5 linked regions of the Mus musculus genome follow. The protein of the gene in region 1 purifies or fractionates together with the protein of each later gene. This does not show direct contact. Links are inferred from orthologs where the notes say so. Each region holds a gene or a part of one and is shown in the gene's direction. Other genes may lie near its edges.

Region 1 (5,864 bases):
GACTTTTGAAAACACAGGAGGGTGCACATAAATAAAATGAAGCCATTAGAGCGTTTTGTATAAGAGATTTAAGCATCTGTGGCGAATGCTGTCCTGGAACCGCACCTCAGGGGATACTGAAGGAAAGTGTTTGTATTTTTCTCAGACTATGCGATACATCTCCATGCTGGCCTGGTTTGCCGGCTCCCGCCTCAGGCTCTTAGCACACACACCACATTGCTGTCCAGTCCTTCTGCCAGCCCTGCCTATTTTCCTTTAAGCAGTCTGGCTCTTCTTGCCAGTTTCTACCTTCCCCTTCTCTTCCACTATTCTTAGGCACCCTTACCAGAATACAGCAGCAAATATGGGAGGGGGTCTGTCTCTTCAGGGAGCCAGCCAGGGACAGGGTTTCCTTGTGGGTGGTGGTGACTGCCATTATCCCTGAGCCGGACTAGGTGGGTAAACACCCACAAGATCCTGGAACCTCCCCACCTCATCTCTGCTCTTCATCTTTGTGTCATGGCTCCCGTGTGTCTTGGGAGGGACCACTGTCTCAGAGCCACCCAGTTTGCACCTGCTGGGAACCTCAGTCTTCCTTGGTCCTGTTTCCTGCTGCCATTCTCTTTCATGTGGTTGGACCTCGCAGACATCTTTGGAATGAGAGAAAGCATCCCACGTTCGTGCGTCTTTGATGGGGGAGTGCTGTTCTTCCTCATCTCTCTAACGTTGCAGCTCTTCAGAAAATACTGTTCTCTGGTGGCATTTGTCACTGGTGCCTGTTATATAGGTAGTCCTCGGATGCCTGACAGTCTGCCTCTGCGCCTTCATCCCCAGAGCCTGGGGTGTGCCTGTCCCACTCTGACTGCTCTTTTCTGGAGGATGGGGACAGGTCTCATCGTGTTGCCTGTCTCCTGCTCAGAAATGGCTTCTTGCTTCCTTCACGCCTTTCTCAGTAGCCTATGAATCCTCCCTACAGCTTCAATCCCCTGCAGTTCCGCAGGGAGCCCTGACCATCCTGGCCTCTTCTCTCCCGGCATCCTAGTGTTCCGCCCACCTTCTCATTGTCCCATTTCCTCCTTGGGTCTCTGTCCGTCCACCCTTTATACCAAGCAGAATGTCATTGTTTTCTGCAGGGATGAACTTTAGTGTGTAGTTGATAGGTCCAAAAACTAGCCACTTGTTCCTTAGCCCACCCTGACGCTAACTCTCCTCCAACCCTACTTAGAAGACAGGTTGGGATGCGGGGTGTCTTAAACTATGTCAGTGTGTGTAGTGACTGCTGTTTGCTATTTGAAGATAGAATCAAAATGTTTTAGGATTTATTATATTTTTTTTGCGTATGAGTGTTTTGTCTGCATGTATGTATGTGCACCACATGTGTGCCTGATGCTCACAGAGTTCATAAAGAGAACATTGAATCCCCTGAAACTGAAACTGTAGATGGTTATAAACCACCAGGTGGGTGCTGGGAACCCAATGCAAGTCCTCTGCAAGAACAACAAGTGCTCTTATCCCCTGGGCCATCTCTCCAGCACCATGTTCCCTGTTTGAGCTAGATCAGGAGACTTTTGTTATTTTTAATTTTGTTTTACTTGTTTTTTTTGTTTTTTTTTTTTTTTTTTTGAGCAGGGTCTATATATACCCTTGCCTATCTTGGAATTCACTATGTAGACCCATCTGGCTTTAGACCAGAGTTTTGTATTAGGAAGAAAAAAGCACTTTGAAACCCTGTGAAATAAAAACTCATGAACTAAAATTTTAAAACGTAAGTAAGCAGGGTATTTATTGATACAATTTTATTGAAAGGACCTTTTTTTTTTTTTTTTTTTTTAATATCACAGGCTTGAGAGATGACAACCAGTAATCCTTCAGGCCCAATTCTTCTCTTACACATATCTGTTTCCACACTGGTCTCCCAGTGAATATTTTGTTCAAATAAATTAAGACTGTGAATCATTGTGTGCGAATAGGTACAGATTTTATATTTAGAGTAGTCTAATTTAGGCGGGGGTGGGGTAGGGTGGGGGGTAATAGCTCAGTTCTTGCTTACCATGTGAGAGGTCCTGGGTTCTTAACACTGAAGGAGAAACAAAAAAACCCAGCCCCTGTCCCCCCCGATTTTAAATTGCTCGTGAACAGAAGCATCATTTAAAGAACAGTCGCAGGCAAGGGCCTGGGATAGAGTGTTAGTGAAGGCAAAAGCAGAAGTGGGAATGTGTGCAGTGTGTGGAGAAGCCGTCCACGTGGGAGTTTGCAGGCTGCTGTGCTAGTTACAACAATTATCAATGTATAGCTCCTGCCGGTCATTATTCCACAAATGATGCTCTGTTTCCTGGCATGTTCAAATTAGTGGGTCCCAGGCAGAGTTCCAGCTAGGAAGCCAAGGCAGAAAAATCTCTTGAGCCAGAAGTTCAAAACCAGCCTAGGCAACAGCTCTCGTATTAAACCAGAGTGGATCTACACATTTCGCCATCAACCTTCAAAGCAACTAGGGTAGGGGTTGTTTTCAGGGCCCATTGGTCCCCCCTGCCCTTCTGCCCTAAGTCAGATTTGACTTTGTTTAGCCTCGATGATAGCATGGGTAGCCCAAGGACTTTTGCAGAAATGCTCAGGTTCCAGGACCCCGTGGTGATCTCAAGATGCCAGCCCCTAACAACCAATGATCTTTTCTCTGATAATATTGATTGACTTATAAAACATCTCTTTCCTCACCATGAAGGAGTTTGTCCGAAAACAACCCAGCCCAAAGCTGCCTGACCCAGAAGTCATCCAGTTCTGTGTCTCCATCTTCGAATGCTCCAGGCTCCTGCTCTCCAGATGGAGTTGACCAGCGGTTCTTAGAAGACTACCACAAGGTGACCAAAGGGGGGTTCGTCGAGGACGCCAGCCAGTACTACTGTGATAAGGTGAGGGACTTCCGGGTCCTGTGCACTTTCGCTCGTGACTTGGTGACTCGTTCTCACAGAGAGAAAAATACCTTGTCACCAGCCACTGCAGAAGGAAGTGGTGTAAACAACCCTCTCACGTGTCTTCTAGAGTGACGATGGAGATGGCTACCTAGTCCTGATCCGGATCACACCAGATGAAGAGGGAAGATTTGGCTTTAACCTTAAGGTACACTGCGAGCGTCTGTAGCATTCTTAGGTGGTACCAAGCGAAACAGTCTTCAGGTGGATTCTGAATTTCAGTCAGAAATCTACTACCTTACCTACGCTGCGTTTAAAAAAAAAAGCAGAAAAGCTCACTTAGAGCTACAGAGAGCTCAGCTGGTAAGGTTCTAGCCATGCAAGCATGAGGACTTGGTTTCAGTCCCTGGATCTACCTAACAGAGATTGTGGGGTGGGAGGGGGGAGACAGAAGCAGGTGCAGCCCTGGCCAGCTCTTACCTCAAGAAACAAGTTAGATAGCAGCAGAGGAGTGAAAGCCCGAGGTTGACCTCTGGCCTCCACTGATAGCCACACATTCACATGTGTGAACGCAAACCCAAGCACACGTGTGCACACACTATTGAAAAGCTACTCAGGGCTGGGGATGGCTCAGTGGCTTCCAGAGGTCCTGAGTTCAATTCCCAGCAACCACATGGTGACTCTACCATCTGTACTGGGATCTGATGCCCTCTTCTGGCACACAGGTGTACATGCAGATAGAGCACTCATACATAATAAATACACTTTAAAAAAAAAAAGGAAAAAACAGCTGGGCAGTGGTGGCACATGCCTTTACTCCTAGTACTTGGGAGGCAGAGATAGACAGATTTCTGAGTTCAAGGCCAGCCTGGTCTACAGAGTGAGTTAAGTGAGTTCCAGGACAGCCAGGAGGACAGCCAGGGCTATGCAGAGAAACCCTGTCTCAAAAATAAATAAATAAATAAATAAATAAATAAATAAATAAATAAATAAATAAAGGGAAACTACTCAGGGATAAGAACTGGCTTTTTATGTAGTAGTTCAATTGCCTCGTATTATGTAGTTGTTATGTGCCCAACATTTGCAAGACTAGATCCCTGTCATTGTAGTGAGTTCTCAGAATAAGCAGAGCCAGTTTATTCTAAGTCAGCCTAGACTGTGTATGAAGTTCACGGCCAGCCAGAGCTATGGAGACCTTATCTCAAAATGAAGGAAATAAATAAAGCATACAACAGCCGTTAAACACATCTTACAAAGGAATCCCGGGGCTCAGAAAGTTGAGTGTCTGGTTGGTGATCAAATGCAGCTACAGCCCACCCAGGAGGGATTATTTCCAGGCCCATACAGCCCTGCTCAGCTGATATGTGAAGGCAGCTAGCTCAAGTCTCTGGGTCTAATGAGTCCCTCTAGGCAGTGGCTGCAAACTGCTGTCACCACCCAGTTCCCATCTGTTTGTGTATATAGCATTATTGAAACGGGTGCTGTGCCCATTGGATTACAGCTTCAGGGATTGGGTGGTGGGGTTAAGTGACTGCCTCAGGACCCTCTTCCCCACACTGCTTAAATACCTATCGAGGAAGCATCTAACTTCCGTCTCTCTCATGCCCATTCCCTCGCCCACCTCTGTACTCCTTCTGTACCCCCACTCCTGCGCAGTGAGCAGACTGCCCCTGCTGGCTACCTGCCCTCTAGAGCTCTGCTCACACGGGGAGCATCCCAGTGCACATGGCCCTTCCTGAGGTCTTGTGCCTCCTCTTTTGAAGAAGTAAGCACACATTCTTTTCCAGGAAATGTTTTTTTCCAAGGGCATCTTCAGTTCAGGTGATGGGAATGTCAGGATATGCTTCTGGGTAAAGAGGAGTCAGCAGTGTGCCCTAGAATTCCAAAAGGGGTCCCCAACCCCCGTGATTGATCCTCCCGTAAAACCTTCCTGAATTCTTAAGGCTCATATTTATTATGTCTACATACCTTTGTTAGCAAAACTACTCAAGTGTTCTGTTTTATTTTTGATTTTGCTTACTTTGAAAAATGTTTACAGGGAGGAGTGGATCAAAAGATGCCGCTCGTGGTCTCGAGGATAAACCCAGAGTCACCTGTAAGTAAATATACACTATGTGACTTCCTGTGTTTGCTTTCCCCTACGTCAAACAAGTTTCTTTCTGTACGCCCCATTCTTGGATTTTGTTGAGATTTAGTTTGTCTTTGACTGATTGGTTGGATGGTTATATGATCAGCTACTTGCTTGGTTTGATCGGTAGCAGCATGGATTTGTATTTGTTACGGCAGACAGACTGAGACAAAGAGTGGGATGTCCGTTAACTGCAACCATGCTGTGCAGCGTGGTCCATCCCTGCAGCTGCAGCACCATGTCACCTGTGGCCTTGTTATATGTGGGGCCGCTGGCCCCAGCTCAGGGACAGGCCCAGGTCCTACTTACTTACCTTGGATCTGTCTGTAACAAGATCCTTGGATGTTTGGTGTGTACATTTAACTTTGGGAAGTACTAGTCAAGGCAGGGAAACTGAGGCAGAGATTGCTTTCCACTTGTTTCCAGTAGAGATCCTTTGCCTCTTTCTGGTTTTTTCTTTTCTTTTTTTTTTATTTCGGGGCAGGATGTGGTTTGTCAAGACAGGGTTTCTCTGTCGCCCCAAGCTTTCCTGGAACTCACTTTATAGATCAAGCTATCCTCAAACTCACAGAGACCTTCCTGGCTCTTCCTCCTGAGTGATAAAGTCAGGTTCCACCACTGCTTGGCTTTTCTGTTTGCTTGCTGTGTACATATTTAAGATGCAGCATGTTGCACTGCCAAGCCTACATGGAGCAGACGGGTGAGCGTACCCACCGTCTCCCCTGGTTTCTGTGTGATGGTTTGCTTTCAGTAAAACATAAATGTGAACACTGTGCCTTCACTCCTCAGTCAAGCTTACCCCTGGGGCCTGGGAAGATGGCTCAGTGGACAACATTCACACTGCCCAAGCA
Region 2 (6,620 bases), on another chromosome or scaffold:
CTTTCCCACTACCTCTGGTGGGTGGTGGGCCGGAAGGGAGGTTAAAACATTTAAGAACCATCGTTAAAAGTAGGCTTGGAAAATTAAAGCTTATAGACTGCTATTTATTTCCAGTAGGAGATTAACCCAAAATATGTCAATACCCTCATCTGATCCTTCCTTTCTGACAATTTCTGGCTCCGAGTAATGAAAGCTATCTCTCCATATGGATATTCCTTCCTATATTTCTTCAATTGAAGGCACTGTCCAGGCTGGTTTTATGTCAACTTGACACTAGTTACAGTGATCTGAGAGGAGGAACTCTCAACTGAAAAAACAAAACAAAACAAAACCAAACATGTCTCTATAAGGTCAGGCTTTAAGTAGTCCTACAGAGCATTTTCTTAATTAGTGATTGATGGGGTGAGGGGCAGCCCATTGTGGGTGGTACCACCCCTGGGCTGGTGGTCCTGAGTTCTGTGAGAAAGCAGGATGAGCAAGCCAGGAAGCAGAACTCCTCTGTGGCCTCTGCGTCAGCTCCTGCCTCCAGGTTCCTGTCCTGATTTCCTTCAGTGGTGAACTGTGCTATGGAAGTGTAACCCAAACAAGCCCTTTCCTCCCCAACTTGCTTTTGGTCATTGTGTTTCATCACAGCAAGAGAAACACAGACTACAAGAGGCAGCTTTCTTTTCCACGGGCTTTCTACCATGGGAAGGTGGATAAGCTACACACACACACACACACACACACACACACACACACACACATAAACACACATACACATATACACACACATACACACACACAAACACACATACACACACATACACACACACACACACACACACACACACATACACACACACACAAACACACATACACATATACACACACATATAAACACACAAACACACACACACACAAACACACACACACAAACACACACACATACACACACATACACACACACATATATACACACACACATATACACACACACAAACACACACACATATACACACACATACACACACACACACACTCGTATTCCTAGTAGCTTAGCCTGCCCTTCCATATCCACTCTAGAGCACTGTCCCTCTTCAGAAGCACAGCATTTATTTGGCTCGTTGTGAATTTCACACCTGGACACAGTGAAATCTGATCAGACCCATTCTCCCTTTTCTCTAGCCTGTGATGTAATTTTGACTAAGTTTTGGGGGTGATTATCACCCTCAACCTTCTATTTTTTGAAGAGAGTGGTAGAGTGTTCTTCATGGGTAAAGTTCTGGGTTCAATCCCCAGTACCTATCTCCAGTAAAGCATTAAAAAGCTCACAATGAACCAGAGTTGAGCTGTTTTCCATCTTATTACCATTAGCTAGGGGAAATAATCTCTCCCTCCCTCTCTCTCTCAAGATTTATTTATTTATTTTATGTATATGAGTACACTGTAGCTGTATAAATACTTGTGAGCCTTCATGTGGTTGCTGGGGATTAGATTTTTTAGGACCTCTGCTCGCTCCTGTCAGCCTAAAGATTTATTTATTATTATACCTAAGTACACTGCTGCAGTCTTCAGACCTGCCAGAAGAGGGTGTCAGATCTCATTATGGGTGGTTGTGAGCCACCATGTGATTACTGGGATTTGAACTCAGGACCTTCGTAAGAGTAGTCAGTGCTCTTACCCACTGAGCCATCTCACCAGCCCCAGAAATAATCTCTCTGTCTGTCTCTGTCTCTCTCTCCCCTCCTTCCCTCTCTTACCCTCACACTCTCCCTCTCTCCCTCCCTCCCTCCCTCCCACCTTCTTTTCCTCCCCTTTCTCTTTTTGAGACAGGGTCTCTGTATCTCAGGCTGACCTCAAATTCTATGTAGTTGAGGAGGCCTCTAGTCCCTTCCTTATTCTTTTTCCTTGGTTCCCCCTACCCCCACAGTGCTGAGGTTACAGGATAGCACATCTGGTGTGGCTGTCCTTTATAAAAATCAATTCTGGAGCCAGGCGGAGGCAGAGGTAGGCAGATTTCTGAGTTCGAGGCCAGCCTGGTCTACAAAGTGAGTTCCAGGACAGCCAGGGCTATACAGAGAAACCCTGTCTCAAAAAAAAAAAAAAAAAAAAAAATCATCAATTCTGGAGAAAGTGTATCATCTCAGTGGCATATTTGGCAGCAAAATTAAGCAATGTTTAATGAGGATAAGATGTTTTCTATCCTCTTATAGTTCATCAGTTTTAAATTTTATGAGAAAACTATTAGACATTTAATGCTTACAGTTTAGCTTGTTGAATTAGATATCTTTGAAATATAGTGTGCTGTCTCCATTAGCTGACCTACATCCCATTGCCATAGTACTCTTTAAAAGTATGATTTAGAGGTTGGACATTTAGGTCAGTGATGCCTAGCAAGCACAAGGCCTCATCATATTCCATCCCCAGGAGGACACACTCACACACACACACACACACACACACACACACACACACACACACACGAAATCGCTAAGGTTTGGTGCTCCAATGCATAATGCTGAGAGAGAGAGAAACAAAAATCAATCAGTAAAGAAAATAAAAGTGCGTGTATGTACAATCTAGAAACATGTTGCTGGATACCGCTCACTCCAGCAGGGTTTTTGCTTTCTCCTGCCCTGAGGAGTGGTGGCATGGAAACTATGCAGTTTGCAGGTAATGCGCTGTATGGTGTTCAATATCTTTTCATCGAGTGTACTTAGATCAGTCTGAATAACTGCGAAAGTTTCTTTTTTACCTAAATCTTGTGCTGGTGAAGAGGCAAGGGGCAAATCTTTCCTAGGCCATCGGTGGCAGAAGACCCTTCGTCCAGCCCCGCCCATCGCCAGGAGCTCCTCCCTCTCACCAGCCCCGCCCACTCCTTCTTCGTAAGCGTGAAGCGCCGGCGCTACAGCTTTTTGTCCCTCGCGGCGACCCGTCCTCCAGATGGTTGTGGCGGCCGCCATGGAGGCGAGTGGGCTCTGAGGAGAGGCCGGGCTGGGCCGGCGGCCTCCAGCCACGAGCGGCGGAGGCCACGAACACGTAGTGGGGGAGGCTGGAGCGAGCCGGGCCGCTGCGGGAGGCTCGGCGTTCCGAGTGTGCTCCGGCCGCCGAGCCGCCGCTCCTGGCTCCGGCTCCGGCTCCGGCCCTGGCTCCGGCTCCCGCCGCAGACATGGCGGGCGGGCATTGCGGCAGCTTCGCCGCGTCGGCGGCCAGCAGCGGGGAGATCGTGCAGCTGAATGTGGGGGGGACCAGGTGAGCCCGCGACCGCGCGGGAACAGTGGGTGGGACGCCCGCTGCTGTAGGAGTGGCATGTGCCAGCCTAGGTGGGATAGGTGTTACAGCCGGGGCGGCGTCTGCACGGCCAGGTGGGGTACCCTCGGCAGGGCAGGGTGGCATCTACCTGGTCAGGTCGGGTACCCACTGCAGGGCAGGGCGGCGTCTACCTGGTCAGGTCGGGTACCCTCCGCAGGGCAGGGTGGCATCTACCTGGTCAGGTCGGGTACCCACTGCAGGGTAGGGCGGCGTCTGCACGGCCAGGTGGGGGACCCGGAGACAGGTAGGTACAATTTTGCATGATCCAAGCAGCCCTATGCACTCTTCAGAGTCTGGTTCCAGGTCGAGTGTATAGACTGTTAAAACTCAGTCTTTATTCCCCCGGGTTCCTATGGTGTAAGTAAGGCCACAGGAACACAGTTGGCATGGTGGGCCTGCCTGACCAAGTGACTTGGGGCCTCTGGAGGGTTGAGGCATGCTGACACCGAGCTGTCAGCGTTGCAGCTGGTTGTCGTCTCCCGTGCTAGGGCTTGAGTTGTTGCATAGGAGCAACCGGTTGGACTGTTGAGTCTTTAGTCTCTATTAGACCTTCCACTCCCATTTTGTTGGAGTGGAAGTTTGTTGGCAAAACAAACAAACAAACCAAACAAGCAACAAAACCAAAAACCCATTTTTGTATTTGCCGTGACTTACACATGACTCTTCTCAGAAAAGGATATTGCCCCTACTAGTTGAGGGAAGCTTGGGTTTAAGGCATAGTAAGAATAGAGGGAGAGGGGGGTTCTAATGCGCAGGCTATTCTGTTGTCCTGGGAAGGCTAGTTTTCAATGTCTTAAGATTTTAAACGTGTAACACTTTTGTTATTTAAAAATACAAATTAACAGTTGTGAAACAATGGGCTCTCTGAGTGCTGGAGAACTTGGGGTGGTCTTCCTGCTTTGTCACCTTTTACCTCCAAAGCAAAGTTTTAACAGTTGGAGACCTTGCACCTCTAGTGCATTCCTTAAGTAGCAGGTCATATGCAAATGACTTCCGCTGCATTTTATACTTACTAGGTCCTGTGCAAATGACCTCATCTAGTGTAAATAGTGTGTCTTCCCTGCCCACCTACGATTACAGGAACCTATTGCAAGTGACCTGGTATGTGAAAGTGAAATAGTCCACAAAAGGCGTGGGCAGTGTTACTACAGAGAAGCAGAATGGTGCTCGTGGCAAACCTTAACCCTGGTTTCTCTGTGGATGGCTCACATATTTCCTTCCAGGCATTCAAGAGAATATAGCTTTATGACAAACAACTAAGTTATATTGTCACTTTAGAAAAGATTGGTCTGTCTTACTTGTATGTGTGAGTGCAGGTGGAGGCCAAAGAAAGGGTCCCTTAGAGCGGGGATTACAGGTGTGGTAAGTTTTGTTGAGAGCCACCTGACATGGATGCTGGGAACTGAATTCTGGTCCTTAGCAAGATCGGCAAGTGTTCTTAATCACGGAGCCATTTCTTCAGCCCTTACATTGTTGTTTATTGTGTATTGGAGATGGATGTGGCTGGCAAGATGGCTAGGCTGAAAACGGCACTTACCAACAGCAAGACTGGCCACCTGAGGCTCCTCCTTGGAAGCCACTTAAGACGAAAGGAGGACACTGACTCCACATGTGCACTTCGTTGTGCATCAAGAGTGAATAAGAAAGTAATAAGAAGAAAGAAAGTGGATGCCTTAAAGGCTGAGCTGTCAAGGATTTCACTTCATCTGTGGAATGTGACTCTTACTGGGTGCTAGTTAGCAGTTAATACCAAATATGACAATAAATGTACTCCTGGCTTGAGCGTTTTAGAAGACAACCTGTGGCACAGCTTGGAGCTCCGAGTCACTGAATAAGTGCCGAAAGCTCTTACTTAGAACCAGAAGAAAGTCAGAGGACATGCTGCCCAAGGGTGAGACAGTGAGCAGCATGCTGCTGGCTCGGGTATGTCTGGCTTAGCACGTAAGGGATTTCTGTACACACTGGGAGTGAATATGATCGACAGCATCAGTGACCAGTCCATGCTTACTCAGGTAGGGATGGAGGAAGGAGAGGGACTGGCTGAGGGAAAGGTTTGGAAACAAACTGGTTCCTTCTGCACATAGCAGGCCTTCCCTCTAGTTAGCAAAGTTGGACAAGTTACTTTGTATTGATGAGTTTCCTGAAATGAAAGGTTGCTATAGTACTAGTCTCATGCACTAATAGACCTGAGGAAATGATCATGAACTTGAGGCTTAGAGGCATTATCATCTTAGTATTTCATAGCAAATCACTTTACTTCATAGTTTCATGTTTAGCTTCATAGTTCAGATTTTGTAGCAAGCCACTAGAGTGGGTATGCTACATCACCAGATATGCTAATTTCTTTAGTCATCTTTTCTTTGGCACACTTGAGATAGGAGATTAAAAATAAAAAATATGTTAATCATATATATGTTTTCCAGTCTCTTTGCCCAGAGATTGCAGATTGTTTTGTGGGTAGACTTGATACTGATTGGCTGTGCAGCGAAGGTTTCCTTCCTACTGTCTGTGTAGGCCTGACCCACCTCCTGTGTGCTGTGACTATAGCTGTGTCCTCCATGCTAGTGATTGTAAGCAGGCTTGTGTGCTTTAATATGGTTTCCTGAAAGTGATGAACATGTAGTGTCAGAAGTTATTGTCTGTCTGCTTTGTTGCTGTGACTAAGTACCTGACAAAGCCATTGAAAGTTAAGGTACAGAGTTCTTTGGGCTCAGCCCACTGTGTGGAACCTCTCTTGGGCAGGTGATTGTAGATTGTATAAGAGAGAAAGCTGATCAAGCCACAGGGGTCATTTCTTCCTTGCTAATTGAGACAGGAGGACCCAGTATGCTGTGGGTGGTACCATCCGGAGGTAGACAGGCCTGGGCTCTCTCAAAAAGGAAAGGGGAGCCAGTGAGCAGCATTGTTCCATGCTCCCTGCCTTAGTTCCTGTCTCTACTTGGTCTTGGCCTCCATCAGTGATGGACTGAGCCTGTAAGCCTAACAAGCCCTTTCTCCCCAGGCTGGTTTTGTCAGTGTTTATCATAGCAACAGAAAACAAGCTAGGATTAAATTAAGGTAGATCTTCCCTCTTGGTTTAATTGTAGGGACTCCTTCATACAAATGCCAAAGGCTTGTTTCCATGGTAACACTAGACAATCAAAATGAACTCTTCTACCATTATTACTTGACGTTATCTGTGAGTGCTTCCATTTACCATGGACTGATTTTCTTTTAATTGACTCAAGTTTTCTGTGTCCAGTGGTAACCTATAGAACTATTTAAGAGTTTGCTGAGAAATGCCTTTAGGGAAAATTGCCATGTTTTCTCGAGTACATGTTTGTTGA
Region 3 (5,864 bases), on another chromosome or scaffold:
AATAATGAAGTGAAAGATATAATAACCCTGATAGTCCTATACCCTCACTCAGTTTATTATGAAAACATGTTTTAGAGAGAATTTTTGAGCTCTTCTGGCCATAGAGTTTTGAATTTTCTTTATTTAGTCAGTGAGAAATGATGTCAAAGAATCCTCAATGCTGTTCTGTACCGAAGTGAGTCCTATAAATGTCATACAGAAGTTTAGGTAGTGTGTTTTCAGCTGTGGGTGAGTTTGACCTCTGTGTGCTGGGAATTCCTGTTTTATGCTCTCTGCTCTGTGGAGCTACTGGGGGGCGGGGGTGTCTGGATGTGGGCTTTGTAAGCCTAGAACTTAGCATGGGCGGAGTTTACTGCGGTAAGGGTGGCTGTTCTCCTGTAGTGGAGTCAGCTCAGCTCAGTCTAACAGCTGCTATTAATGTCAGAGCAGAAAGGCCTAGACCCAGGGCTTCCCAGAACTTTTCAATTCGAGGGATGACAAGGTGTCATAGTAATGAAATCTCCCAAACAAATTGAAAGGTTAGATTGTGTTTTCTGGGTTCAAAGGGCAAACATAAAATATATGGCGAAAATTTCAATGAAAATAGCTATAGTTAAAAATGTCCCTGTATTAAAAGCTGATTCTATGAACACTTCCAAAAAAGTTGGCTAATTGAAGTATTTTATTTTGTTGTGGCTTTTATAAATCATCCTCGTTATCTTCTCTGTCATCAGGATGACAACTGGGGAGAGACCACCACCGCAATCACAGGCACCTCAGAGCACAGTATATCCCAAGAGGACATTGCCAGGATTAGCAAGGACATGGAGGACAGTGTGGGGCTGGATTGCAAGCGCTATCTGGGCCTCACCGTTGCCTCGTTCCTTGGACTACTTGTCTTCCTCACCCCCATTGCCTTCATCCTGCTACCCCAAATCCTGTGGAGGGAGGAGCTGAAACCCTGTGGCGCCATTTGTGAGGGACTTCTCATTTCTGTATCATTCAAACTGCTTATTCTGCTCATCGGAACCTGGGCACTTTTCTTCCGCAAGCAAAGAGCGGATGTGCCGCGGGTGTTTGTGTTCCGAGCGCTGTTACTGGTCCTTATCTTTCTTTTTGTGGTTTCTTACTGGCTTTTTTATGGGGTCCGCATTTTGGACTCTCGGGACCAAAATTACAAGGACATCGTGCAATACGCAGTCTCTCTTGTGGACGCGCTGCTTTTCATCCACTACCTTGCCATCGTCCTGCTGGAGCTGAGGCAGCTGCAACCCATGTTCACCCTGCAGGTGGTCCGCTCCACCGACGGAGAGTCCCGCTTCTACAGCTTGGGACACTTGAGGTAAGGGGCATGCACACGGAGTAAGCAGAAAGGATGACTAATAACCCTAGAAGACAGATGTTATTAGTCGGCAGGGGTGAGATGAAGCCCTAGAGGCAGATGCTAAGACTGGAGCCCCACCCTTCTCTGGTGTTACTAAGGGCAGTGTGAGCTGTGGGGTGTCTGTGCCTTTCCCGCGATGCTAAGACTGGGGCTTGACCCTTGGTGTTAGTAGGGGCTGGGTGAGCTGTGGGGTGTCCGTGCCTTTCCATGGGACTCTCAGATAAGTTCAGGGTTTTACTGGACTCACACTCTACCTCAATGGCAATTCCCAAAGATAGACACAATGATGGCTACCTACCTTGACTGTGAACTTGGCTTGGGGATAATGGATAAGGTGACTAGTACTTCCATTCTGTCCAAAATGATGCAGCAGATACTTACTATAGCCAAGTTTTGGAATCATCCTAGTTGTTCACCAGCAGATGAATGGATTATTTTTAAAAATTGATAATTTATATATATATGTGTGTATATAATATATATGTATATGTATGTATATATACATATATATGTAATAGAGTTTTATTTAGGTATAAAGAAGAATAAAAATGGACAGAATTGGTGTGATCATGTTAAACAAAGTAAGCTAGACCTACAAGACAGGTAATCCATTTTCTGTCATGCAGACCTAGGTTTTATATGTATATACACACACATATATACACACACACACATATGTATGTATCATATGTATGTATACATACATATATATTTATATGTGTGTGTATATATATACATACATATATATATGTATATATATATATATGATGCACACACATGAAAATAGGAGATCTATTTAGGAAAGGGAAATGGAGGTGCAGGGTGGGAGGAGAAATAGGAAAGGGGGGTGGTGTTATGGGTTAGTGAATATAGTTAAGTACATGATGTACTTTATCAAAAACATTATGAAATGTATAGATTTATACAGCAAGTACACATCACACTCCTGAATTCAGTATTTAAAACTTTAATGCCATTTTTAAAAATGGTGTATCAAGTTTACCCTGGTACCTCAGTGGGATTGTTAGCTCTTCCTTTTTGTTTCCACTCTCAGACAGCCTGTTTGGTCAGTCAATTATGTAGTCACCCTAGTGACTAATAAAGAGTCGGGCTCCAGCCAATGTTGATGACTCATACCTTTAATCCCAGCATCACTAGGCTGAGACAGGCGAATGTCTGTGAGTTCAAGGCCAGCCTGTCTACAGCATAAATTACAGTCCAGCAAGGGTTACACAGAGAAACCCTGTCTCAAAACAAACAAACAAACAAACAACAACAAAAAGAGTCAGACTCCAGCTACAGACTACAAATATGTAAGGACTGAATGTTTTGAAAGTGTTTGTGTAATATGAGAAAGGTTAAAACTCCATCGGTAGCTGGGCGTGGTGGCACATGCCTTTAATCCCAGCACTTGGGAGACAGAGGCAAGGCGGATTTCTGAGTTCGAGGCCAGCCTGGTCTACAAAGTGAGTTCCAGGACAGCCTGTCTCGAAAAACCAAAAAAAATAACCAACAACAACAAAAAACAACCTCCTATCTGTGCATAACTTTAGTGTATTATTCCATGGTTAACTCAAAGGTGAAAGTCTTCTTAAACGTTTGTTTTATAAATAAATGAAGGTAAGTACTCTATGCTGGTTATCACTGTAAAACCTCATGTAATTTTATTCATCCCAGTGTTATGGATAAAGAGCTGGGGTAGAGGGTGTAAGTAATTTACACAACACACCAGGCATGCCCGGCTTTATTCAGGATCCCTTGAATGTCATGCGGTTGGGCTGAGTGAATGATCCAGTTATGACATCTCTCCCTCCGTGCAGAATCTTCTTCTTCCATCTGTTCCCCTCCATATACTTTGAGATCCCTAATGATACACAGTGTGTCTTACTCCACCTGACATCCTTGGTGCCTGGCATGGAGCATGATTCACAGTTGGCAGCCATGTGGTTCCTGGGTGATTGATCCACTGTGGTGGTTTGAATGAGAATGGGCCCCAGAGGCTCATGTATTGAATGCATGGTCTCTAGGTGGTGGAACTATTTGAGAAGAATTAGGAGGTGTGGCTTTGTTGGGGGAGTATGTCAGTGAGGGTGGGCTTTGTGGTTTCCATCCATTTCCATTCATTTATTATTTCTAATCATCTCTCTCTCCTTTCTGCCTCTGCCTGAGAAATGTAAGCTCTCAGCTGCATGCTCTCTGCCATGACAGTCATGGCTATGGACTCTAAACCTCTGAAACCATAAGCCCGCAAATTAAATGCTTTTTTTTTTTCCATAAATTGCATTGGTCATGGTATCTCTTCACAATAATATAAAAATAAGTCACCTTGAATGCCTGGCTTCAAAGTTTCACTGTCCTGAGCAGTAAAAGCTGATGTGTCACATGGCAAAGCAGCCAGGGCTGGTGAGAACACCGCTGTGGTCACTAGAATAACTGGCTTTGTCATTGTGCTAGCTACTGTCCAGAGAAGTGGCCCAGCCCCGCTTGGAGTAGATCCCACTGCTCATCCAGTGTCCTGCTGACGTACACTCTCATCTGTGTCCTCTGGCTCAGCTCGTCCTGCCTGAGACAGGCTGCTTTAGTGTTCAAGGCTGCTGTCACCATGATTGATTCCCAGGGGAGTTTCTCTTTGAATTGGTGTGCCATGAAGGATAAGTTGGTTTCTAATCCCCCAGAGATGCTAGTAAAATTGTGGAAGCCAGGAAGCTACTGGGGCACTGGAACCTTAGAGAACTCTCTCCCCAGTCTTTATACTAGAGAAGGACCCCTCCCCACCCGACCCCCTCCCCAGTGATATCTCCCAGGGTTTTCTGGGGATCCCAGGCACTTGGAGAGTCGCTGGCATATGGCTTTGAAGTGGACAGTTGCTCTGCCAAGCCTGAGATGGAGACCAGGGCACAAGAAGATAGGGAGTTTCAGTCAGCCAGTGAGCGGCAGCTATGAAGCCTATTGGCAAACAGCCCAGCTCCGAGGCCGGTTTTGTTGTGATCTATGCTGTGCAGCCAGACCTGTGGTCTCCTAGCAGGTGAATAGCATTTGGGACTGTGGCAGCCACAGACTGTGAAGGACAGATAGCTGTAGCCTTATGTCCCGGTCTTCCTTCTGAGTAGTGTCCGTCCCAGTTGCACAGAGAAGGGTAATGTCTTCCTCACCTTAGGTCAGTCCAGGTTGATGGGAGGAACAATCCCTTCTGGGCTCCCACTCTTCTCAAAAACAGGTTGACCTCACCCCTACATGAGACCTGGGTGCAAATGGAAGGGGCCGACCCAACGGCCCCTGCAAAGTAGGAAAAGAATCCCTGTCAGCAGCTTTGCTATGTGGGTCAGGGGCAGAACTGGGTGGGAGAAGCCAGACTGCTCCCGGACTGCTGGCCCGCTGCTGCTCAGGAAGTTCTGTAAGGCTCACCTCAGGTCCTAGGAAAACTGCAAGTGACATGTCTAACGGGCTTGGAGGGGAGTATTTGAGAGAAATTTCTTCCCTGGGTCCTCACTCTCCCTCCTTTTATGTGATCTGGTTTGACCCTTAGGTGATTCTGAATTCTGAGGTGGAAGGAAAGGTGTCCTGTCTCTCCCTGGACAGCACTAGGTGACCTGTGACAACCAGTTTGCATCACCTGCTGCTCCATGGGCTAAATCTGGCCCAAGCCCAGCCATGGTGGGAAGAACCAGTGGGGCAGAAATATGACTTCTAAGCCCTTTTATAAATTGTTAAAACAGGAGGAAGGGGGGAGCAGGAAGGACAAAGCAAGCCCCAGACATCAGAATAGCAGGTCGTCAGCAGACCCAACCAGAACCCCAGGCCCTTCTGCCTCCCCTTTATGCAAAGCCTTCGCTGCAGAGTGACCTATTGCGCTTAGGTGTGGAGTGCTGGAGAGGTCTTTCTTCTCATTTTCAAAGGAGGTTTTCCTGAATGGTCTGAGCTATTTTTGAGAGTTTTCAAAAGAATGCCTACTCTTTAGGTTCATAAAGAAAATGGGCTTCTTGTTAGCACTTGTAAAAGGCCCTTGCTGTGGCTTTCCTCGTGAGCAGGGATCATTAGGGGTTTATTTGAAAACCTTCAGAAATGGAAGAGAGTATTGTTGCAGACTGTGAAATTCCATAAATAGATGTAAGATATGACCTAGCTCTTAACTGATGCCTTAGGTGTTACGTGGGCTTTTTATATTTGGACTTAATTTACCCCACCTCTGGGGGTCAGGGCAGGTGGGACAACAGCTAACATCTCTTCCAGTTGAGGACAGGTTAAGGGACCTGTTCGCAGTAGCAGGTGCAGGTTCGCAGGTAGCACGGTGCAGTTCATTGCCCACCTCTGTTCTCCATGGTTCTCCGGGTGGGGGTGGGGTCTCAGCCCATGCACATCCCACTTGTCAGGTTTTCTCAGTGATTTGCTAAATTTTCTTTAACTTTACTAGAAATATAATTTATTTTTTAACTTCCTGTGTGAGGGGAGAAACCCAGATGAATATGGAAAACAGATCTCAGAATGACTTTTAATAACTGCA
Region 4 (5,864 bases), on another chromosome or scaffold:
GCATGGTCCCAGCAAACCTGGAGTTCACTGATTGGCTAGGCTGGCTTGTCAACAAAGTCTGAGCACACACCTTTCTACTGTCTGGGGGTGGGGGAGTCCAAAACGTAGTTTTCTTATGCCTATATAGCAAGTGCTTTACCCAGCAAGCCATGTCTGTAGCTCCTACAACTATATTTCTATTTTATTCTTTATTTGTTATAGTTCTAGAGTTTGCGCCCAGGGTTTTGTACATGCTGGGCAGGTGCTGTAGCATGAGACTGCCCTCCCCCCGCCCCCCACCTCCACCCCCCTCCTCTCCCAAGCCTGACAGGTGAATTTTAGGCAGGTGCTCTACTTCTGAACCATGCCCACAGCTTTTCCCCAGTAACAGCAAGGAACATGTTCATGGTCCAGCTGTCTTTATTTTTAAAAATGTTATTACATTTATGTATGTATGTATGTATGTATGTATGTATGTATGTATTGGTTTCTCAAGACCAGGTTTCTCTGTGCAGCCCTGGCTGCCCTAGAACTTGCTCTGTAGCTCAGGCTGGCCTCGAACTCAGAGACCCACCTGCCTCTGCCTCCCAAGTGCTGGGATGAAAGTTGTGTGCTACCACCACCCGGCAGAAGTATTTATTTATTGGGCACGTGGTGGGAGGGTGCATGAATGGAGATCAGAGGACAACTTGCAGAAATTGATTCTCTCCTTCTACCGCACATGTCTCAGGATCAAAGTCAGGATTGCCAGTCTTGGTGGCAAGCACCTTCACCCACTAAGACACTTGCCAGCCCTCTGCTTCATCATCGTTATTATTATTTTATTATTACTGAGACAGGGCCTAGCCTTGAACTTGCAATCTTCCACTTCCAGATTTCCAAATGGCTGGGATTTCAGACCTGCCTGCAAGGCCTGGCCAAGTTAGCAAACACTGAAAAGGCACCAATATCATAGCAGCACCAAACCAGGTCTTTCCCTGTGACGGGTTTCCGGGTCATTGAATGCTGAATCCCGGCACACAGAGCACCTGCCCCAGGACACTGTGCCCCACACAGGGAATCCATGCCTCTCATGGTTTAAGTGTTCATAGACTGTCCGCCACGATTTTAATTGTGGTGCCCGACACTTCCCCTCACTATAGTGTTCCCAGTGAAGCGGCGAAACCGGCACAGCCTGGTGGGGCCCCAGCAAATAGGGGGACGCCCAGCCCCTGTTCGACGGAGCAACACGATGCCCCCCAACTTGGGTAATGCAGGGCTGCTGGGCCGAATGTTAGATGAGAGAGCACCTCCATCCCCATCAGGTAAGCTTGGGACTTGAGCTTAGTGCGTGCGTTCTGCCTCTGTATATCCCTAGCCTTCTTTTACTTTTGTTGTTGTTGTTGATGATGTTGTTGTTGCTGTTGGAGACAGGATCTTACTCTGGTCCAGGCTATCCTGGAGCTCAAAGCAATCCAGTCCTCCTGCCTCAACCTCCCTAGTGCTAGAATTATGAGCTCAATGTTTGCTCCTCATGTTCTTAGTTTTATTTGATGATTATTTTTAATTATCATTATTGTGTGTCCATGTGTGAACTCAGCATAATTGTCAAAGGATACCATGTGGGTTTGGGAGAACAAACTTGGGTTGTCCGGCATGTGCCAGGACTGCTTTTGTATGCTGAACTAGCTCCCCTGACTCCAGCCTTTACGCTCTGTTTTAAGACGGGGTCTCACTAAGTTTCCCAGGCAGCCTACACCACCAGATGTAGCTTACATTTCTGTCCTTTAGGAGGTCAGGGCCAGTGGGCCCCTGTGACCCTGCTCTGCTCTGCTCTCTTACCCCCAAGGCCAACCAGAGGAGCCAGGGATGGTGCGCCTGGTGTGTGGTCACCACAACTGGATTGCTGTGGCATATACCCACTTTCTCGTCTGTTATAGGTGCTGAGGGTGGGGGTGTGGCAGTGGGAGGCTCTGCCCCTGTGGCTAGGGTGGCTCTGAGGTGGGGGTTACTGATGTCCCTCAATCCCACAGGTTGAAGGAAGCCTCGGGCTGGCAGCTTGCATTCTCCAGCCCGCGCCTGGACTGGCCCATCGAGCGCCTGGCTCTTGCGGCTCGGGTGCTTGGCGGTGCTCCGGGTGAGCATGACAAGATGGTGGCTGCAGCTACTGGCAGCGAGATCCTTCTGTGGGCCCTACAAGCACAAGGTGGTGGCTCTGAGATAGGTATGTCTCATGATCTTTTCTAGAACTCTGTAGACTTCTGTAACTTGTTAAAATATCTCAACTGAAACTCAGAAACCCATGGGGGGATGGGAATTCTGTACAGAGTCAGTCTTTTTGCCTTGTGAGAAATGTGTTAGACCTTCAGAACTCTGCACTTTTCATTGTTTCATTTTGCCTTAGACAAGGTTTTACTATGTAGCCCAAGCTAGCCTTGAATTCCAAGTCTTTCTGCCCTTAACTCCTGAATACTGCCTTAGTCAGGGTTTCTATTCCTGCACAAACATCATGACCAAGAAGCAAGTTGGGGAGGAAAGGGTTTATTCAGCTTACACTTCCACCCTGCTGTTCATCACCAAAGGAAGTCAGGACTGGAACTCAAGCAGGTCAGGAAGCAGGAGCTGATGCAGAGGCCATGGAGGGATGTTCCTTACTGGCTTGCTTCCCCTGCCTTGCTCAGCTTGCTTTCTTATAGAACCCAGGGCTACCAATGGGCCCTCATCCCTTGATCACTAATTGAAAAAATGCCTTACAGCTGGATCTCATGGAGGCATTTCCTCAAGGGAGGCTCCTTTCTCTGTGTTAACTCCAGCTTGTGTCAAGTTGACACACATGGAGGGATGTAATCCAGCCAGTACACTGGATTACAGCCACCATACTTAGTTAACACACTGGTTTATTTTATTGTATATTGATTTATGTGTCTGAGAAGAAAGGAACATGCATGAAATCCTGGATTTAATCCCAGTACCATATAACCTGGGTATTGTGGTACATAGCTATAATCCAACACACAGAAGGTAGGGGCCAGCCTGGGCTACATGAGACCCTGACTCAAAACAATAACAACAAAAATCAGCCTTTAGTTGCTGTCATAGCCCTTTGTTCCAATGGAAGGAAACCTCAGCCTGTTAGGATTCTACTCACCATTACACTCCCACACCCATCAGATATTCTGTGTAATTCCTGGAATCCTCTTTGCCGTGGATCTTGTTTCCTGATACAACCTGCGGCCCTGGGGCTTCACCCCCAGCCCTGCAGTGGGGTCCCAGCCTCCTCTTGAGCACCACCCCCTCCCTTGCCACCTGCAGGTGTCTTCCACCTGGGTGTGCCAGTGGAGGCCTTGTTCTTTGTTGGGAATCAGCTCATTGCCACAAGTCACACAGGGCGCATCGGTGTCTGGAACGCTGTGACCAAGCACTGGCAGGTGAGTCTGGGCCAGCCTGGCTCCCTCTTCCCGAGTGTCTGTGACTATGTAGGCCCAGGGTTTCTTCCTATTTCACTCTACCTAGAGAAAGAGGAAAAGAACCCTACAGTAGGTGTGGGATAAAAGTCCATAGAACATCCAAGAGGCCTTCCTGTAGGAGTGGCTGAAGAATCAACCTGAAGGATGGATGAGTTTGGAAAACCGTGGGATTCTTCGAGCAGATGTAGAGGTGGCAGGATGCAAGATGGCAGGATGCAAGATGATGGCAGGGTGCAAGATGGCAGGGTGCAAGATGGCAGGGTGCAAGATGGCAGGATGCAAGATGATGGCAGGGTGCAAGATGGCAGGATGCAAGATGGCAGGATGCAAGATGACAGGGTGCAAGATGGCAGGGTGCAAGATAGCAGGATGCAAGATGATGGCAGGGTGCAAGATGGCAGGGTGCAAGATGGCAGGATGCAAGATGATGGCAGGGTGCAAGATGGCAGGATGCAAGATGGCAGGATGCAAGATGACAGGGTGCAAGATGGCAGGGTGCAAGATGGCAGGGTGCAAGATGCAGGGTGCAAGAGGGATGCGCCTGTGCACATCACTCCATCCAGCCCAGGGGCCATATCTAAAACGTGAAGGAAAAACATGGAATTGTAGTGTATTTGGCCTACAAAAGTATACTGGGAGAGAGACAGAAGCACAGAAAGAAGCACTGAGAGAGAACCAGGAAAAAACAGTGAAGGCAGGAGACACGGAGGCAGGGCAGATGGAGCAAAGTCAGAACGATGGAGCCAGGCTGGGTCTGCTGGTTCAGGCCTATAACCCAAGCTATTCAAGAGGCTGATCCAATGCAAGACCAACCTGAGCTACAGAGTAATCCTGGGCAGCTTAGTGACAGTTGCATCAAAATGTGTGTGTGTGTGTGTGTGTGTGTGTGTGTGTGTGTGTGTGTGAGAGAGAGAGAGAGAGAGAGAGAGAGAGAGAGAGAGAGAGAAAGAGAAGACAGCAAAGGCTGTAACTTAATGATAGAGTACTTGCTTAGAGTCCCCCAGTGAGGGGCTAGGGATGTAGCTCAGTGGTAGAGCCCCTGCCTAGAATCTCCTAGTGAGGGGCTGGGATGTGAGTAGGTCAATGGCAGAGTGCTTAGTTAACAGGGAGGAGAACCTGTGCTAAACAAGATACTAAATACACATCACACACACATATCACACACACACACACACACACACACACACACACACACACACACACACCCCACTCTATAATCCCAGTACATGGGATATAGAGGAAGGATCATCAATACTTCTAGGACAGGAAAGCTTGGGCTGTTTATCTAGCAGGTTCCATACCAACCTGAGGCACATGGGGCCAAATGTCAAAATTCAACAAAAATGGGTCTGGAGAGATGGTTCAGCAGTTAAGAGCAGGCACTGTTCCTTCAGGTGTCTCATGTTCCATTCCCAGCATCCATATCAGGAGGCTCACAACCACCTATGACTGCAGCTCCAGGAGCTCTGACACCTCTGGCCTCTGTGGGCACCCACACTCATGTGTACACACTTGTGCACAGATATATACATACATGATCTTAGAAAACAATTTTTAAAATCTCAACAAAGACAGAAGAAGAAGGGGGTCAAGGAACAAATGGCCTAAGATAGAGAGGAAGGTACATAGGCCAGTTACAGAGAGAGCCATAGACACGGGTGGCCACTGGTAAGGTTGAAAGGAGTAGGTTCAGGCCCTGGTAACCTGGCCAGGCTGGGCACACAGAAATGGGCATCATGGGAGAGAGGCAGGGATGCCAGGCATGGAGAGACACAGAGTGAGACCTTGTGTGGAAATATAGCTAAACTGGCACTGCCTCCTCCCTCCCCAGGTCCAGGAGGTCCAGCCTATCACGAGCTATGATGCAGCCGGCTCCTTCCTCCTCCTGGGCTGCAGCAATGGCTCCATCTATTATGTAGGTAAGCAGCGTCCTTGTGCAGTGTGAGGGGTGGGCTGGAGCAGGAGCCTCGGCTGCATCCGCCCCACCCCTGCCTGCCCATCTAGATGTGCAGAAATTCCCCCTGCGGATGAAGGACAACGATCTCCTTGTCAGTGAGCTCTACCGAGACCCAGCAGAGGATGGGGTCACCGCCCTCAGCGTCTACCTCACCCCCAAGACCAGTAAGCTATGACAAAGTTTCTTGCCCTGCTGTGGCCAGCCAGACGTAGCCGTAGCCGTAGCTCTGTGTCTCGACGGCACTCCTCAGGAACGGGACATCAGTTCTTATTCCTGCAGCACGTGCTTCTGGTTTGCTTTACTTAGCTCTGTTTTAGGTGCTGGGCTGCTTTTGGCCTTTTCATGACAAGCCTGCCTCTTGCATCTTACCTGTCTCCTGTCAGGACACGACATTTGCCTAATTCATAAAGACCTGGATACCTTTCAGATAGTAGATAATTCCATGTTCCAGGAGCCTTGATTTTTTTTTTTCCTCTTCTTTT
Region 5 (5,864 bases), on another chromosome or scaffold:
TTCTGCTTCTTCTTTCCAATCCAAGTCAGCACAGCTAAATAGGCTTCCCAGTAACCTGCAAATAAAACTGCAAGTCTTTGTGCGGCTCCTACAGCTTCTGCCAGCCTCTCCCTGAGCTGTGTGGTGTATTGTTTCTTAATTGCGCGGAGCCATTTCTTGACTTGGCCTTCCATGGTATGGTGTCATTCCCTCCCTTTCTTGGGCTTTTTCTTCTTTTCTTCGGCATGGTCAGATGTCATTTTCCCAAGTTTCTAGACATTCAGTTTAAAGTTTCTCCACAGGGCTGGGGATGGAGCAAGCCCAGTGGCAGAGTGCTTGCTCAGTATACAGGGTTCAATCCCTGATACATTTGTCTGTTGCTGGGTAACCTCGTGTTCTTTTCCTTCCCCCGCACTGACTAAAGTGGCTGCTTGTATTTATTGCCTACCTGTTAGTGTACATCTCCCCCCAGACCATATACCCAGTTATACCACAATATCCAGGTCATAGCAAAGTATATGGTTCACTGTAGGTGACTTAGAGAGCTTTGCTTATCAGGGAGTGGAGCCAGGAGGTGCTCAGGCATAGGAATGACTTAAGTTAGTGTTGCCAGCATCAGTGGAGAAGATGACCTTGGTTGCTAGAGTACCTGGGGCATCTGTGAGAGTTGGGGCTGGGCTCTGAAGGATGATTGACAGGTGACAGGTGGCTGTTGAAAAACCATTCAGTGTAGATGGAGGAGGCTGCTCGTGGGCCCTAAGTAGAAATAGGCTTCTGTCTTGCTTGCCCAGGGATGTTAGGCGTTTGGAAGATGCTTCTTTTTGTTTTTTATTCTACCATGCCAATCTCTATCTCCATTCACCCACGAGAGAGAGAGAGAGAGAGAGAGAGAGAGAGAGAGAGAGAGAGAGAGAGAGAGAGAGAGAGAGATATTTAGATTTTGTTCTCGAAAGCTTGTACATACAAACTTGTGTCTCTGAGTCTCTGTTTTCCTGACTGAGAACAAGAAAGCAGTGCTTTAATTCTTCCCCATCGGGCACCCCAGTTGGATGATTCTGGGTGTCCTTCTTGCCCTCGGAGCTTGTGCTAGCATCTTTCCCAGCCTGGAATACTATGGGTGGGGAGGGTCTTTCCAGCTGACAAAGCCGGAGGAGCTGAGACGGTTGGGCAGAACAGGACCCAGGAATGAGGTATTCTCATGGAGCGCCTGGGATCCCAGGGGAGATGTTTTTTCCTTTGTGTCCTGTCCTATGGAAAGCCTGAGCTACCCTCTAAGCAGTTGCTTTATCTTCTCAGGGAGCTGCCGCTTGAATTTCTCTGAGATAAGCCCACTTGTCCAGCAAAATAGAGTCCCTCAGGGTGACGGTTGACTTCCTAAAGGTGCCTCTTGGCCTGAAGAAGCCTGTGCTGAAGGAGGTGGCTGTGGGACCCCCCAAGAGGTCCCAGCCCGCGGCCCTGGAGCGCTACAAGGCACGGCGTTCGGACGCCATGGACACCGAGTCCCAGTACTCGGGCTATTCCTACAAGTCGGGCCACTCCCGCAGCTCCCGGAAGCACAGGTGGGTCTAGCTCCGAGCGGATCAGGCTGGTAGAGAGAGGTGGTGTATGCTAAGGTGGTGGGGTAAGGGGCTGCCGAAGGGACCTGGAATCCCCTCTTGACCTTTGTTTCTGTTTCTCTGGCTTCCTGCTGCAGGGACCGCCGGGACCGACACCGCTCTAAGAGCCGGGATGGGAGTCGTGGAGATAAATCAGTGACGATCCAGGCTCCGGGAGAACCCCTGCTGGACAATGAGTCCACGAGGGGGGATGAGCGGGTGAGCACTGGGGCTAAAGTGGTTTAGATCAGATATTTTGTGATCCTCTGGGGTAGGTGGAGTCTCCTAGGCAAGTCAAGGACTGATAGAGATCTAGGATACATCTCACCCAAGATCAAGAACGGTATCTTTTTTGTTTGTTTATTTATTTTTTTCGAGACCAGATCGACTTATGTAGCTTGTTTTTGTTGTGAGACAGTGTGGCCCTAGCAAGCATTGAACTCACAGAGATCTGCCTGGCCCTGCTTCCAGAGTGCTGGATTTAAAAGTGTGCACCACTATGCCTGGCCCCTGGACTGATTTTATAAACAGAATCCTCCTGTCCCTGAGTCCCAAATGAAGGGACTACTATGCCTGTCCTTTGTTTCGTGTTCCAAGGGGGGATCTTGTTGCAGGGAATTCAGGGAATTTAGATGTTAGTGGAAACTCTTTTGGAGGTACTAGTTTCAACCTGATCTCCAGGGGCAGAGGTGGTTTAGCTGAGTGAGGAGAAATTTCCCTGCTGTTCCGAAGCTCCTGGCAGCCAGTAAGGTTGGCGCAGGCTGGAGTAGGAGGGCAGCGGTGGTGGTGGGTAGGCCACAGGTTTCCCTCGAGCCTCAGATGTTCGCCCTCTGCTGTTAGCTTGTGGAACAGCATCATCTAGGTCCTAGGGAATAGGGGTTTGGAAAGAGTCAATGGAGCTGGTTGGGGCACTCAGAAGAGAGACTGGGCAGTTAGAGGGGGCACCTTGGAAAAGAGCAGTTGTTTCTGTCCTGACTTCTGGTCCATTGCACTCCCTGGATAGAGAGGACAGTAGGCAAGACACAGTCCAGGAATTTAGGAGGGACAGGATTTGTGGTGACACTGAGATTGCCCAAGTCTATTCTTATTCTTTCTTCTTGGGAGTATCTTAGGCAGTGGAGACTCTTAGCTTCTTGTTCCTGGGTGGGCAGGGGCCTGTCTGACATTGGGAACTGTTTTCTTTCTGTAATATAAGGCCTCATGGATTTTTGAAGTGACTTTGAGGTATGATTAAACTCACCTCCTGTTGGGTGGGGTTTCCTGCCTTGATCTTTGAGAGGGTAGGCAGTGTATCTGGGGGTCACTGGGTGAGGGTGGGGTGGCTCCAGTCCCACAGCTGACAGTGGGCAGCTCTTCTGCCCTGTATATTCAGATAAGATTCTTCTCCCATCCTTGGGAGAGGAGACTCCTCAGCTCTGTAGCCACTGGCCCATCCAGGTGGCCTCCTACTCTGCACTGCATATCTCAGTCCTGTAGTTTGTATCCCCTGGGGTTTAGGGTAGGATTCCATATGCCCAGGCTGGACGTGAACTGTGGGTCCTGAAAGTCCTGGTGGTCTTGGGAGATCTCTGTAGGATACTCTCTAGCCAATGCAGAGAAGCAGCTTTGAGCAGACCACACTCTGAAGGGCACCCGAGAGCCCATCTGTCTATGCTGACATCCACAGATCTTGTACCATGGGTATTCGGGTGGTCACCCCACAGAGCTAGCTTTATAGAGACCCACGGTGACCCTGAGTCTGCAGTGAGTTTCCCATCTTTTATTTAGGTCATTCACTGATCTTCCTTTCCCTTCTTCTCCTTGAATGAGAAACTGCAGTAGCTCCTCATGGCTGGAGGATAGACAAGGTCTCATGTAGCTCAAGCTAGCCTTGAACTTACTGATGTAACTGAGGATGGCTTTGAACCCCTGACCTTTCTTCCTCCACCTCCCAAGTGCTAGGATTGCAGGCATATACCACTGCCCCTGGATTTTTCTTTTTTTCTTTTTGAGATTGTCTTGATTTGTGGCCCAGGCTGATTTTGATCAGCCTCCTGTGCTCTGGGATCACAGACATGTATCACCTCACTTGGCTGGAATAGATGTCTGTTCCTGGCATCGCCACACGGCCTGCTCAAGTGGCTTTGACTTCCCCTTCCTAGCCACTGTGCTCTCTGCTCCTGCACGTGGAGACCCCTGCTTCTCTCTTTCCTCAGGGTGCCTTGGTTCATGAATCTCTGCCCTGGATATTCTAGCTCTGGCTTCTGCTGAAACCATGGACTAGTGCACAGGCTGGCAGAAACTTAGGAGAGCCCATCTAGAACATGAATGCTGGAACAGGTTCATCGGCATCTTGTTTAAGTGCAGATTGTGGCTTAGTAAATAGGGGATGGGCCTGCCGGTCTGCCTTTCTCCCATTCGCCCAGGCGATTTCCATACTGCTGGTCCGCAGAGTGCATTCTGACTAGCGGCCCCTAGAGATCGCTTAGCTCCGAGAGTTCCCAATCTTGGCTGAGCATTATAATCATCTTGGGAGCTTAAAAAAAAAAAAGTTGACAAGCAGATCTCACTTTGCATAATTGGTATGTTTTCCAAGCTCCCTCGGTGATTCTACTGTGTGCAGCTGGGGTTAGGAACCACTAATTCAGATGAGCTTCTTGTATGTCACCCGCTGCTGGAGGTCAGCTCGGGTCCTATCACTGTCTGGAAGCTGCCTGCTTTGCCTGGCAAGCCTGCCCTTGGGTCACTGTCACTGCTCGAGACGCTCCCTTGGCAGTTGTCCTGTGCTCCCCTTCGAGGGCCATCGATGCACATGTGGTATCTTTCCCCCTGACCTCAGTGCAGCGCCCCAGGGACTTGGGTTTTAGATGGCAGTTTCTGCAGCGACAAGACAGGCACACAGTGAAGCTCAGTGACTTCTGATGACTGTATATGTGTTGATTTCTCTTTCCTGTCCGCTTTCCCATGTGTACCTCTGCTCTGCCTGCCTTTTCCGCTCCACCCACCTTCCCGACTGTAGGATGACAACTGGGGAGAAACAACAACGGTGGTCACGGGCACTTCTGAGCACAGTATCTCCCATGATGACCTCACGCGCATCGCCAAGGACATGGAGGACAGTGTCCCGTTGGATTGTTCCCGCCACCTGGGCGTGGCGGCAGGGGCCATTCTGGCGCTGCTCTCGTTCCTCACCCCGCTGGCTTTCCTGCTGCTGCCTCCACTGCTGTGGCGGGAGGAGCTGGAGCCGTGTGGGACGGCCTGTGAGGGCCTCTTCATCTCCGTGGCCTTCAAGCTGCTCATCCTGCTGTTGGGCAGCTGGGCTCTGTTCTTCCGCCGGCCCAAGGCCTCACTGCCCCGAGTCTTCGTGTTACGAGCTCTGCTCATGGTGCTTGTCTTCCTGCTGGTTATTTCCTATTGGCTCTTCTACGGTGTGCGCATCTTGGACGCCCGGGAGCGGAGCTACCAGGGCGTGGTTCAGTTTGCCGTTTCTCTAGTGGATGCTTTACTCTTCGTGCACTATCTGGCCGTAGTTCTGCTGGAGCTCCGTCAGCTCCAGCCCCAGTTCACACTCAAGGTCGTGCGATCCACAGATGGGGCCAGCCGCTTCTACAATGTCGGCCATCTCAGGTATGGGTGCACGGCAGTAAAGTGGGACTTGGTGTAGGACAAAGATGAGACCCAGATGAGACCCGAAAAGGTTTAGGGGAAGGAGGGGGAGGGGGAGGGGGCGGGGCGAGGGTGGGATGGCGAGGACAATACGTGATGAACTAGTGGGGCTGGGCGGAAGGTGGTTTGCACATAGTAAGAGTTCAGTGGCATTTTCAGCCTAACGACAAAGTCGTGGGCAAGATGTCAGTGGGAGTTGTGAACTGGCAGTGACGTGCAATTCGAAATCAGGACCCTTAGAGGAGGATGGGCCAAGAGGAAGAGAGGTAAGGGGTATAAACCGAAGGTTTCTAGCCTTTTCTCGGAGGCATTATTATTATTATTATTATTATTATTATTATTATTATTATTATTTTGTGTGAGTAGTCAGTACATGTTACTGAGATGAGCCGGCCAGAGATGGACCGCCAGAGGGAGAGATAGAAAATTAGCTCCTACCAGGCTTGTGGTCAGAGGTCAGCGGCATCTCTTAGGTCCTATCAGAAACCTTGGGAGAATGTCGGAAGGGATGAGGAGCCCCTTGGTTGGGGCTTATTTACCCCCTGGCTTCAGCATAGAGGAAATGAGTAGCAGACCCAGCCTTGGGAAGGTGGCAGGGGCCTGGTAAGTATAGACCTCAGGCTTGAGCCAGGCTTCCTGGAAGCA

What was found.
Region 2: the proteins of Ptpn3 (region 1) and Kctd3 purify together in Homo sapiens (affinity purification with mass spectrometry; 4 studies listed by BioGRID and IntAct, with this or other methods). This does not show direct contact. The link is inferred for Mus musculus from reciprocal best matches to the Homo sapiens genes PTPN3 and KCTD3.
Region 3: the proteins of Ptpn3 (region 1) and Vangl1 purify together in Homo sapiens (affinity purification with mass spectrometry; 4 studies listed by BioGRID and IntAct, with this or other methods). This does not show direct contact. The link is inferred for Mus musculus from reciprocal best matches to the Homo sapiens genes PTPN3 and VANGL1.
Region 4: the proteins of Ptpn3 (region 1) and Shkbp1 purify together in Homo sapiens (affinity purification with mass spectrometry; 4 studies listed by BioGRID and IntAct, with this or other methods). This does not show direct contact. The link is inferred for Mus musculus from reciprocal best matches to the Homo sapiens genes PTPN3 and SHKBP1.
Region 5: the proteins of Ptpn3 (region 1) and Vangl2 purify together in Homo sapiens (affinity purification with mass spectrometry; 3 studies listed by BioGRID and IntAct, with this or other methods). This does not show direct contact. The link is inferred for Mus musculus from reciprocal best matches to the Homo sapiens genes PTPN3 and VANGL2.

What each region holds. Positions count from the first base shown.
Region 1 is NC_000070.6:57,222,735-57,228,598, reverse strand, and holds part of Ptpn3 (tyrosine-protein phosphatase non-receptor type 3), read left to right. Parts: intron 1-2,698; coding exon 2,699-2,885; intron 2,886-3,015; coding exon 3,016-3,093; intron 3,094-4,923; coding exon 4,924-4,980; intron 4,981-5,864.
Region 2 is NC_000067.6:189,004,144-189,010,763, reverse strand, and holds the start of Kctd3 (BTB/POZ domain-containing protein KCTD3), read left to right. Parts: upstream 1-2,923; 5' UTR 2,924-3,151; coding exon 3,152-3,234; intron 3,235-6,620. UniProt on the Homo sapiens protein: Accessory subunit of potassium/sodium hyperpolarization-activated cyclic nucleotide-gated channel 3 (HCN3) up-regulating its cell-surface expression and current density without affecting its voltage dependence and kinetics.
Region 3 is NC_000069.6:102,179,408-102,185,271, reverse strand, and holds part of Vangl1 (vang-like protein 1), read left to right. Parts: intron 1-713; coding exon 714-1,321; intron 1,322-5,864.
Region 4 is NC_000073.6:27,348,014-27,353,877, reverse strand, and holds part of Shkbp1 (SH3KBP1-binding protein 1), read left to right. Parts: intron 1-1,121; coding exon 1,122-1,283; intron 1,284-1,749; exon of another isoform or gene 1,750-1,807; coding exon 1,808-1,898; intron 1,899-1,991; coding exon 1,992-2,182; intron 2,183-3,270; coding exon 3,271-3,386; intron 3,387-5,256; coding exon 5,257-5,344; intron 5,345-5,429; coding exon 5,430-5,546; intron 5,547-5,864.
Region 5 is NC_000067.6:172,008,757-172,014,620, reverse strand, and holds part of Vangl2 (vang-like protein 2), read left to right. Parts: exon of another isoform or gene 1-1,169; intron 1,170-1,275; 5' UTR 1,276-1,467; coding exon 1,468-1,538; intron 1,539-1,672; coding exon 1,673-1,793; intron 1,794-4,572; coding exon 4,573-5,180; intron 5,181-5,864. UniProt on the Homo sapiens protein: Involved in the control of early morphogenesis and patterning of both axial midline structures and the development of neural plate. Plays a role in the regulation of planar cell polarity, particularly in the orientation of stereociliary bundles in the cochlea.